Linked DNA regions of Sus scrofa. The protein of the gene in region 2 interacts with the protein of the main gene of each other region in a biochemical or structural test. Links are inferred from orthologs where the notes say so. Each region holds a gene or a part of one and is shown on either strand. Other genes may lie near its edges.

Region 1 (5,859 bases), on a different chromosome or scaffold from region 2:
GCTTTGGAATTTATTAGATTTATTTAAGTAACCTATATTCGGATCTTCAACTGCAAGATAGTTAAGAGCAGTATTATTTTACAGCCCCCTTAGAGAGATCAAACACCAGGCTGCTCCAAATTACAAAAAGTCACCAAATGTCATTAATTTTGAAAAAAAAATGTATTTAAGATATATAAATTATGCAGTGAAGAGGCTGTACAAAATGTATCCTTCCAGGAGCCAGTAGGTTTGAACAAAGCAATACCTTTTGCACACCTTCTGAAAATGCAATCTTTGAGGATATTTACCAAATATTTTCTGCACACCATAAAAACAGACTCTATTTCAAAGATTAAGCTTCAGCTAAAGACTCCACAAGTGAGTGAAAATGGAATTCTATCAGTATGAATAAGCTGTTTATCTAACTTGTTTTGCAGTGCGTGTCAATATCGATCTCTGACTCACCTACTAAGTTCCTTGGAACTTGTATGACATCTTCGGCAAATTCAAGAAAGCTTCGAGCCTTTTTCACTGCATCCTGATCCTAACAGTTAAAAGATTTAAAGCAACAAAAGATGAACCATCTGAAATCCTGTTTTCTTTTTAGGAAAAAAAAAAAACTATTTAGTTAGTAAACTATTTACCTCTCCATAAATATGAAACGTGCAGGTATCTTCATCGAGATCGATAGCAGTGACCCCAGGTACCTTCCTAGCTTGCTGAATATTAGCACCATGAGTACCAATAGCTAGACCCATCAGATCTTCTCGTACGATAAACTGTTCATGAAACCTTGAGGCAAGTTGCCTTGAACTCTGAAGAGAAATGCACATCTGATTAGTATGCTTTATCAACTCCTAAGACAACTGTATTTAGGTCAGCCATGTAAATGATCTTGACCCTGTAGATCAGGGGCCTATAATTAGTTTCAGTTGGAAACTAACAGGTCTCAGAAAATATTTCACACAACAGCAATACTTTTTAGGTTACTGAAGGTCTATGCCATTTGATATATTTTTGTTAATAGGAAAGGGCTTGTTGACAATTTTCCAAGGTAACTTCTGAAAACCTATTTGCAAGGTTGCCTTAGTTTACCAATGACATCAATGTAATAATTAAGAAGCAGATCAAATGTTCCCAAATAACAACCAGCTCACTGGGTCTGACAGACTCCATATTAATGAAGTTAAAGAAATGTTAAATACCATCTTTACAGAAAGTTGTATTCATTTCATTTTTATTAAAGGATATGCAGGTGCATGTGTGTATATATTTTCCCCTAGAAACAGTGCCCTTTACATAACTTTTATCACTAGATACCGTGGTCTAGACATCTCTCTAACGAGGTGATAACATTAAAAACACACCCTCCCTCCCACCCCCAACCCAAGTAAAGAAATCAGAAAAATTACTGCTACAGTAATTAAACTGAGTGATTACAGAGTGCCAAAGATTTACAACTTACATATGTGTCTACAACCTAAAATGAGATCAGAGTCTGTAAGACCTCGTGATCTGGATCCACAAGTATGATGAATTCTTTCAAATATTCAGCAATGACTGAACTAGGTTATACTAACACCTCAAACTTGTGGATAATCACGCTCTTTAAACAGTATTATCAAAATTTAATGTTTAGTTCTAGCATGCCATTAATGAAAACCAAACATATTAGTGGCTCATGTTGAAAAATGGAAATTTCTTTTCTGAATATGCAGATCTCTTTAATATTAGTAGTGACGAAAGAGAGGCATGCACACTAGTTTCTCATTAACATACCTGATAATTTGAATGAATGAGTGTAACTACTGTAAACAATTTTAAAAGTATAATACCTTTTTTGCAGATTAGAGAAACAAAATGTATCAAATATTCCTGAGACTTATCAAGAGGTCGTGTTTTTTGAGACCTGGTTCATTCTTTTCATTGATAATTCACTGGTCAATGATAAGCCAAGGGTACGTTAACAGATTTAAGCAGCATTAGATGTTCAAAAAGAGGTAAATGAGTATATTTCCATAATACTCACAATGAAAGTAAGGAGGCTGTTCTGGCCTAAAAAGTTATGAGAGAATCACTAAAGAAACCACAAACTGGTGAACACAGGGACATCAAGAAAGAATGAGAGTAAAAACCAATTCAACAGACCTCCATGGTCATAAAGAAAACAAAGGAGCAAAAGGAGATATAGCAAAAGGAGATGTGAATGTCTCCTCTCCTGCTGAGAGTTCAGCAATCACATATTAAGTTGGAAGGTGGCAAGTTTCACAGGGTTTTACAAAAATACAGCCCTTAGTAGTAGGTCACCTTTTCTTTTTAAAATTCAGTTGGGAAGGAACTCCTTTTCTCCTTTACTATTTCAACTGCATGGTGTTTTCCCTCTAATGAAATGAATAATGATGAAGAACTCCGGAATCCGAGAGCAATATACTTGTGTTGGCACATTAAACTAAAATCCATTTAATTTCTACGGCAATGGATGGAAGTACTAAATAGTTATCAATGAAAATAAATGTATGGTGATGGAAATTATTGGAGGATTAATAAAAGTAGATAAAATGCACCTTAAGAGACGAAATAGTAAGTTAGGGAAATAGCCTCTGGCAGGAATCTGAAGACAGGAGTTTTAAAGAGTGACAACCAATTAGAATGAAGAAGTTCTATACCCTTTTAAACAGAGATAAACATACATAATGAAAGGAATATGATTAGATATTTAAATACTCTCTAGTACTTTAATGATAACATGTTTTACGGAAGAAGCACTGCTTCATTTTATTAGCAGCATTGATGAACTTCTGGTAAAAAGTGAGTTGGCCAGAAGTTCCTTAACATACATAAACTGCTGCTAATTCTGAAACCTCAGGCACAAAACTTTAGTATGATTATGCTTTGTACAATTTAATTTTTCAAAATACAGAATATAATGAATTGCTAAGAAACAGTAAATAAAGGACAAGCTGCCCACATTCAAGTTTTATAACCACACAGTTATCACTTCCAGATAGTCTTACAAGTAGCACTAGGGAAAGCCACATACCTCTAGCTGCTTACTGGCTTCTTCATTTCTCAGTATCAGAGACAGCTTAGTGCGCAGACTCCGAAAGTGCATGTCAATCAACATGTGTGCTCGCTTCGAGGTCACTTCATTGATAGACTAAAGGGTATAAATCAATACCATCACTATCAAAGCAAATGCCCTAAATGAAATACACCGAGGTAGACCACTCAAAAACACTCACCAAAATGACGAGCTGATAACCTTCTGGATCATAAGTTACAGAAAAGGCACCAACTGCCTTTTTAAAGTCCTTATGTGCCGATTCTTTGGCACACCTAGGAATAAAAAGAACATCCATTGTGAAGTTAAGATGAATGATTACCAACTACTGGTACAAATATACACAGAGACATTTGCTCCAAGTAAAACTGTTGACTCTTACTAAACTTGATTAATGCAAAATACGCTATATCCACATGTAAAAGTTGAGTTCTTTTGCTGTACCTCTCTGAAATACTCAGCCCAAACAAGCAATATAGATTATAGAGAAAGGAAAAAACCATTTCTGTTCTTAAGGGATTACTGGTGATGGTCTTAGGTTACCAAAGGTGACAGCTCTGGGGGGTGGCCACTCTCCTCTGCAGGCTTCCTGATTCAGTAACAGGTAGGTCACTAATTTTCTTGAGGCAATGCTGAGAACTTTTGGGGATAGCTACAGGGCACCCAATTTTGTTTTGTTGTTTCTCATCTAATGAAAAACTGCTGACCGATTTAAGGGAGAGAAAAGGACATGGATATAAATCAGAAGGCACAAACATACATACGCAATCTCTATAATTAAGAAGCAGGATTTCTATGTAATATTTCTCTAAACGGTGACATGTCCAAATCAAACTTAATACAAGCTCTTGACGAAATCTTTATAAAGGAATTTCTGCTCCAAAACGTCTTTACGCATTATTTCAGTTCAAGGATTATAAGACAGATGACCTTTTAAATCTGCTTTAGCTCTACTTGTTACATATTTATCTGAAAATACTAGCTAAAGGGGAAGAAATATGGAGGAAGCTCCACTGTCCAGAAATTGATTGGTGACTTAGGATACAATATCTGTATTAATCAGTTCTAAAATCTTAAAATTCTATGAACAATGCTTATTTTAGAAAACAAAGGTACATTAGCCATGGATCTAGCCAAGGAAGTTTAAATAGGTGGAATGCTGGCTTGATCACATAACTGGAAAAAGCTAAATACGTTTTTTCCCCCCACTATTTTCGCAAACCATTTTGCCAAAGTTCCATTGAATTTACAAATTTATTTGCTATTGTTTTAAAATAATATTTTTTAAATAAATTGCATAGCATCTTTAAGTTCTCAGCCAACTTACATTTGTCGTAAATCTTCGGGCACATCCAGTTTGATTTTATGGAAAGTATCTTTTGTGGCAGGTTTGTTGGGATTAACCGATCGTAAACGTTCAATTGTGACAATTTCATTGTATGTAGCGTCACATGCTGCATATTCTATCACGTAAAACTGAGAGAAATAAGTGCAAGTCATTCCTGGTCATAGCGCTTAAAGTAAGAATAAGAAGCTATACCTATTTCATTATTTCTAAATTCTCCAGAGGGGGGAAAAAAAAACTGATCACCTAAATGCAATACATCAAATGGACTAAACATGTAATCATTTTAATAAAATGACTCAAGTAAGATGTTACTTAAACATAGAAATCCAGACTGAAATGCAGTATACCTGGCTTTAGAAAAGAGAAATAGCATATGAAAAAGAATTTAAATAGGCATTTTCCTACCTCACCCTTTATCATCCTCACTTTAGCTAACCACCAACAGCAAGGCTCTTTTTCATTTGCTCTGGAATAAACCTACACAAAAATTACAACATAGAATATTTCATGATTAACATCATTCAAAAATCTACAAATTATCAGACATCAAGGAAAATTTCTTAAAATGACCTTAGGTATCTTCCAAACCCACATGCTCTATACTTTAAAGCAGAATGCACCCGTACTTCTAGACAGACAGACAGACACACACACACTCAGAAACTCCCTGATTACCGGGGAGAGGCCTGTAAAAAGTGCTTTCCTATTTCTCTGTGCTACCTCAGTGACGGTCAGTACTCTGAATACGAATGCTCAAGAAAAGCTGACCATTCCTAAACCTGTGCATACTTTCCTTGGATACCTTGTGAGCTATGAAAATGTATCTTAAAAATGTAGACAAACTTGTTTTTGTTTTACTCTAATAAGCACATAACAGACTGGAAGTCACTGTCCCCAGCCTACTGCCTGACTGCATGGTCACTAATGGCTAAGGCCACTGACTACCCAGCCCATTAAGAATACCACTCTGGCATTTCCGTCTCCTGGGAACTAAACAGATAAATCCTTGGTCACTCTCTGGTCTCCTGTCCCCTCCTCACTGAAATGGACAACTTCACGCTGGCAAGCCTTCGGATACCACCTTCCTGCCCTACACACTGTGGATCAGTTCTTCTAAAGTGATGCCTCTGGCGACCCCTTCAAAGTGTGCAGCATGGAACCTTTTGTGAGATATTGGCAAATCAAAGGTAACAGGAAAAGAGACAACACAGATACTCAGAAGCAGACGGAGAGACAGACACATACTCAGAAGCAGAAAGAAGACGGAGGGAGAGCAAGGCGGACGGGGAGGAGAGGACAGGAAAGAAGGCAAATCACTCAAGGCTCCAACTCCCATCTCGCTTTTACTACTGAAGCCAATAGTTAGACAGTGTGGTGACAAAATACAACTTAACTTGACCTACCTTTCCCTCTTGCTCCCACCACTTCTGTACACCTCTGCTCTAGCCATAGAAATAATCTCCGTTAT
Region 2 (5,859 bases):
GTAAAACATAGACTTAAAAATGAACTAACATTTAAAAAACAAAATAAACAGGCAAACAAAACAAAAAAAACCTTAAAAAAATTTTTTTCATGCAATAGTCTGGAGTTACCTCAGGAATATTTTCTATACTACACAGCTTTCATTTTGACTCATCCCAACCATCAACAATTAAATCTTACACTAGTTCTCTCCCCTGTGTAGCTATGTGCTGGGTAAAACTCACCATATCAAATGATTTAATGAATACTTCAAAATGTCAGCATTTTGAATGCCCTATATTCTTTAGTGCAATATTAGCCAGGCAAGATAAATTAACTGGCTTAAATTAATACTTTAACCAAACACACAACTCACACCAATTTTACTTCAAAAGATGTGGCTTCAAATGACTTTGGACCACTTCAAAATCAAAAACATCACCTTAGAAAATTATGATCTAGTGTTCTAAGACTAAGACAACAAATCGAAGTTCTACTAACTATGCATTGTGAATAATTACTCTGAAAGTGACAAGGGTTACGTCCTGGGTATGTACATTAAAAGCCATCACTGTAACGTAACCCAAAGTATCAGCCAGTAAAATGTTATGATACCTAGAATCTGCTTTTTAAAACTCCAAAGTGTATGAAAGTGGATAAATCAAAAAAATGACAATTTTGTTGTTGTGGGGTTTTTTTGGTCACACTCTCTGCTTGCAGAAGTTTCCCATGACTGGGATCACACCGGAGCCAGAGCTGTAATCAGTGCCACAGCAGTGACAATACCACCTTAAACCACTGAGCCAAAAGGGAACTCTCATGAAGATATGTTTTTTTAAAATGTTCAAGCCAGATGATGGGTCCATTATGTTATTTGGCTCCATTTTTATATATACATATATTTATACTCCTACATACTTAAGTTTTCCATAATTAATTTTGAAAGATTACTTTAAAAGTTTTTACCTCAGTGTCAAGAGGTAAATAGGAAAAGAGGACCTCTTACCTTAAATACTGATACAGTTATGTAATGGTACAATATTCCCCCAGAAAACACAAAATTAGAGCTCCTGTTGTGGCTCAGTGGTTAACGAATCCGACTAAAAACCATGAGGTTGCAGGTTGATCCCTGGCCTGCTCAGTGGGTTAAGGATCCCGAGTTGCTGTGGATCTGGTGTAGGCCGGCAGCTACAGCTCCTATTAGACCCCTAGCCTGGGAACCTTCATATGCCTCAGGAATAGCCCTATAAAAGGCAAAAAGACAAAAAAAAAAAAAAAAAAAAAAGAAAGAAAAAGAAAAAAGAAAACACAAAAATTAGGTCTTACTTCTTTTTTTGTGTGTGCTTTTTAGGGCCACACTTGTGGCATAGAGAAGTCCCAGGCCACGGGTTGAATTGGAACTGTAGCTGCCAGCCTGTGCCACAGCAACACTAGATGTGAGCCGTGCCTGCAACCTACACCACAGATCACGGCAACACAAGATCCTTAACCCACTGAGCAAGGCAAGGGATCAAACCCACATACATCCTCATGGATACCAGTCAGATTCGTTACTGGTGAGCCACAACTGCACTTACTTCTTAATAAAAGTTAGTGGCATATTTATATCAAAAGTTGTAAAAGAAAATCCCCAAAACAAGAATTCCCATCAGTTTTTTTTTAATGCCTCACTGTATCTTCATTTCTTATCAAGTAAACTGAATTCAAATTTTTTTAAATCTGCTGTAATGTTTAAGGCTGCAAGTAATTAATGTTTCATCTAAAAAATGTACCATTACTATTAAACTGACATAATGCATAAATAAAGTTGCTAAACAGCTCATTTTCGAAGTCAGCAAGTATGCACAGAACTTTCCATTCTAAGCCTAACTTCATTCAACTTACTAAGAAATTACTTTAAACATTTAAAGACCACACTAAGCCACCAACAAAAAAATACGAGGTGTTCTTTTAAAGGATATTCCAATAATTCCTATTGGTTATTACCTTTTAGCACCTAAGAAAACTTAAAAAAAAAAAGAGGCAAGCCTTCGTTGAAGAAAAAGATCTTTCTATCCTCAAAAGACTATGACTCAAAGCAAATTTAAATAAAGGAAAAATTAGTGACCTAATGGACCAATCTACATTCAGCAGGAATTCAAAGAACTGCCACTCTGGGACCTAACTGAACTATTATTTGTTTTTGTTCTAGGGAGGAAAAAACAAACAATACCAATTTCATCCCAGTAATGTTCAACTACACAACTCAACGTGATAAGACTTTACTAAAGCAAATCTTTCAGTAACATCAGCAAAACTAAACACAACTGCATCTAGGTAGGGGCATTTGGTTTAACTAAATACCACTGATTTATTTTATATTTAGTTAGCTTACCAACAGGGCAAATGCATACAGAATACTTGAAGATAAATAGGAATGTCCCATTTAAAAAGACCTGCATTTCTCCATAATAATCACACATTAAACCACCAACCAAGAACCTAGTAACAACTTGCCCCAGGATTTTTCCAGGTTGTGGGACAACCAGATATCCTCAGGCTCAGGCAACCATCACCAGTATAACATACTTTAATAAAGTATAATGATCTCTGGAGGGAAGATGGCACAGAAAGTAACATCAAAAACACTATAAACTTCCCCTGACAGAACTTAACTTTTAATTAAGCAATGTCTTAAGAAACTTAAGTATTTTTTTACTCTAACTCTCCTAAAAGTATCTGGCTCCTGGTTAACTCACATTTACTTCCAAAGAGCAGTGCTGGAGAAAAGTAAAAACAAACCCGAGCCACAGCAGTGACCATGCTAGATCCTTAACCTGCTGCACCACCAGGGAACTCCTTTACTCCCATTTTTTAAAGCAAAAAAATTTAAAGGGTTATCTATTTTACTAAACATCTTAGTCTGCAGATAAACAAAGGTATGGAGACCAGGTAATTTGCTTAAATCACAGGAATTGCTTTGTTATTCATCTATGAGACAGTGATTCTTCCAGGGAAAACATAATTACCTCATCTCTACTATCTGATAACATGCTGCCTCTTCCCTGCAGTTGCGTATCACTGCCTGAGCTGTTGCTAAAAAAGCGATATATACGTGCACTATATGTTAGGTGTGCATGCATGCACACATATGGAGCTGTTAGGGGAGGTTGGGGAGACTGAGAAGGAAAACTGATAACCACTGTTCTTGAAAGTGAAGAGGTGCTTGTAAAATCATGTCAACATTCATGACACAAAAAAACATTGTTTTAAAGGATTTAAACTAGTTATGCCATACAGCAAGTTTTTAAGACTTGAATAAATCGTATCCTAAGAAAGCTATTAACATGGAATTTTAAAGACATCAAATTCCTTTTTTTTTTTTTTTTTGCTTTTTAGGACCACACTCACAGCGTATGAAGGTTCCCAGGCTAGGGGTCTAATCAGAGCTATGGCTGCAGGCCTACACCACAGCAATGCCAGATCTGAGCCACGTCTGCAACCTACACCACAGCTCATGGCAATGCCTAATCCTTAACCCACTGAGCAAGGCCAGGGATCGAACCTGCAACCTCATGGTTCCTAGTCAGATTATTTCCACTGTGCCAGGATAGGAACTCCTATCCAATTCCTTTTTAATGCTGGCTTTGAGGCTATGAAAAAAAGTGCAGACTCCAAAAGCCTGGTCCCTACAATGCTAATTGTACTTGCCATTGTAGTTTGATTAAATAAGAGAAAAAAAATCGACCCGCCATCTCTTTGGACTCCTCTAAAATACTGCTCTTGCTCGTTTTAAGGAAATGAGAACTATCAAAGTGAGCTCTCTAATAAAGAAGTATATAGTATAAAAAGCAAAGGAGAGGGAACATCTGTTTCAAGAAAAAATTTATACTTTTACCATAGTATTTACAAAGACCCGGAGCTTAGAGTTTGGTATCAGCTGCTAATCCACATTGTTATTCTCAACTAAACTATGGAATTCTTAAGCTCATCATAACTTCAAAAATTCACCCTTAATAGAACAGCCAATAAATGTATGTTAAAATAATCAGTAAGAATCTTCGTATAGAAACAGATGAGTTACCTTTAGTGTGATATACAATAGCAGCCCTCAGGTCAAAAGAACCCCAGCTATCATTCCTTTCTAGGCCTCTCTGGTATCTCTGTTCTTTGGCGGAGCCTAACAAAGTGTTCGTAGGAGACGCCAGAGGATTTTGATTTTCTATCTCATAGTCCTTTGAGAGAAACACTAAAGCACCTTGACTACTGGTGTCTGCTTTTTGCAGGTCACCTATATGACTGGGTTCCAAGGATAAGGCTCCACTCTCACTAGTAGTCCCAGATTTTAGAATGCTACCCAGAACTTGAGGACTAGTCCGTTTTTCCAGCTCATAAGCCTTGGGAAACACAGGATGCTCAGTTCCTGAGGGGATTATTTCAGCACCCTGTGAAACCAAAGTGGCAGGATATTCCCCTTGAAATGTCACCTCCATCACTTTATGATCTGATGATTTCCCAATAACAGTCTCAGGGCCAGCACTGGGCTCATTGATAAATGATAAACCCCATTGATTCTGGAAGATATCCCCCAGGTTTTGCTGATCTGTCTGAGAGGGTAGATCCACTTGTGCTGTGCTCAACAGCACAGTTTGCATATTTGAAGGGTAGATAAAAAGGCTGGACTTAATTTGTTCAACAGCTGCTGAAGTCAGACTCATGTCTTGGAGAACTGAATCAGCCCCAGAGGAGATGGGTGCTAGAGTATTAGCAGCAGTAGTTAGCAGTGGCTGACCCCCTGGAGAATATACACTTGCATCAGTCCCTGCTAAAACTGGCCCATTAGAAAAGTTGGCCGAAGTAACAGATTTCAGCGCTGACATAGGGACCTGGGATAATCGACTTGAAGGTTGGGTCTGAGTTTCCCCAGCTGATGACGAAGAAGATGAAGATGAAGATGAAGATGGTGACACGGAAGAGTTCTGTACAGTTTTGTTGAGGTTTTCCTTAACTTTGCTTGCATAACTTATTTTAGGAACTATTTTAGCACTGCTATTGTCCACTGGAAAAACTGGGGGTGGTTTAAATAGGGTCCACGAGTCCTCTTTGGAGGCAACAGCAGAAGTATGCTTTCCTTTGGGCCGATCATCAAACTTTTTGCTGCTCACACCAGGTTTAGTATCAGAGCTTTTCCTCAGCATATCACCCATAGCAGGTTTTCCTCGACTTGTTCCTCCAGGCCCAGTTTCATACTTCCAAATGGGCTTTGAACCATCTACTCGATTTCCCTTTTGTTCACTGTAGTCAGGCTTGAAAGTTTCAAGTCCCTGTTTTAAGGTTGGGACATTGGTCTCTTGTTGCATTATTTTGTCCTGCACTAAATTAAGGTTTTCACAACCCTTGGCACTATTGCGCCTAGCTTTCCTTTTTTTAGGAGTGGTATATCCGCTCTCAGATCCACTACCATCATTATCTGCTCCTTTGCCCATATAACCATTAGTAATATAGCCAGAATTATTTGTTACAACACCATTTGGAATTGCTACAGCATCAGTCTTGTCTACAGATTGGTTCTCTCCAGATTTATTTTCATAAGACTTTCCATTCTTTTTGTCCATACTGTTTTTCTGAATGAAATTCCTGGTTTTAATTCCTGCTTTCCCAAAGGTGCTGGACCTTACAGTCTGCTTCAGGTTAGTGTCTACAACTTGTTGGTTGCCATTGAGTACCCTGGAAATAGGGTTGGTAGCTTCATCAGAACCCAGGCTCTTTAAAGAAATTTCTCTTTCTCCAGCATTACCATTTAGTTCACCATAGCCTAGAGAGGGGGGGAAAAAAAGGTTTTTAAAGAATTATAATATGTAAATTACAATAGTACCTAACATTTAGTATGTGCTAGACACTA

Evidence for each region. The genes of interacting proteins can lie anywhere in the genome.
Region 1: the proteins of NUFIP2 (region 2) and FMR1 form a complex in vitro, tested with the Homo sapiens proteins (2 studies listed by BioGRID and IntAct, with this or other methods). The link is inferred for Sus scrofa from reciprocal best matches to the Homo sapiens genes NUFIP2 and FMR1.

Annotation. Positions count from the first base shown.
Region 1 is NC_010461.5:120,377,438-120,383,296, reverse strand, and holds part of FMR1 (synaptic functional regulator FMR1), read right to left. Parts: intron 4,869-5,859; coding exon 4,797-4,868; intron 4,520-4,796; coding exon 4,371-4,519; intron 3,319-4,370; coding exon 3,225-3,318; intron 3,140-3,224; coding exon 3,023-3,139; intron 798-3,022; coding exon 627-797; intron 527-626; coding exon 448-526; intron 1-447.
Region 2 is NC_010454.4:45,495,004-45,500,862, forward strand, and holds part of NUFIP2 (nuclear fragile X mental retardation-interacting protein 2), read right to left. Parts: intron 5,773-5,859; coding exon 4,042-5,772; intron 1-4,041. UniProt on the Homo sapiens protein: Binds RNA.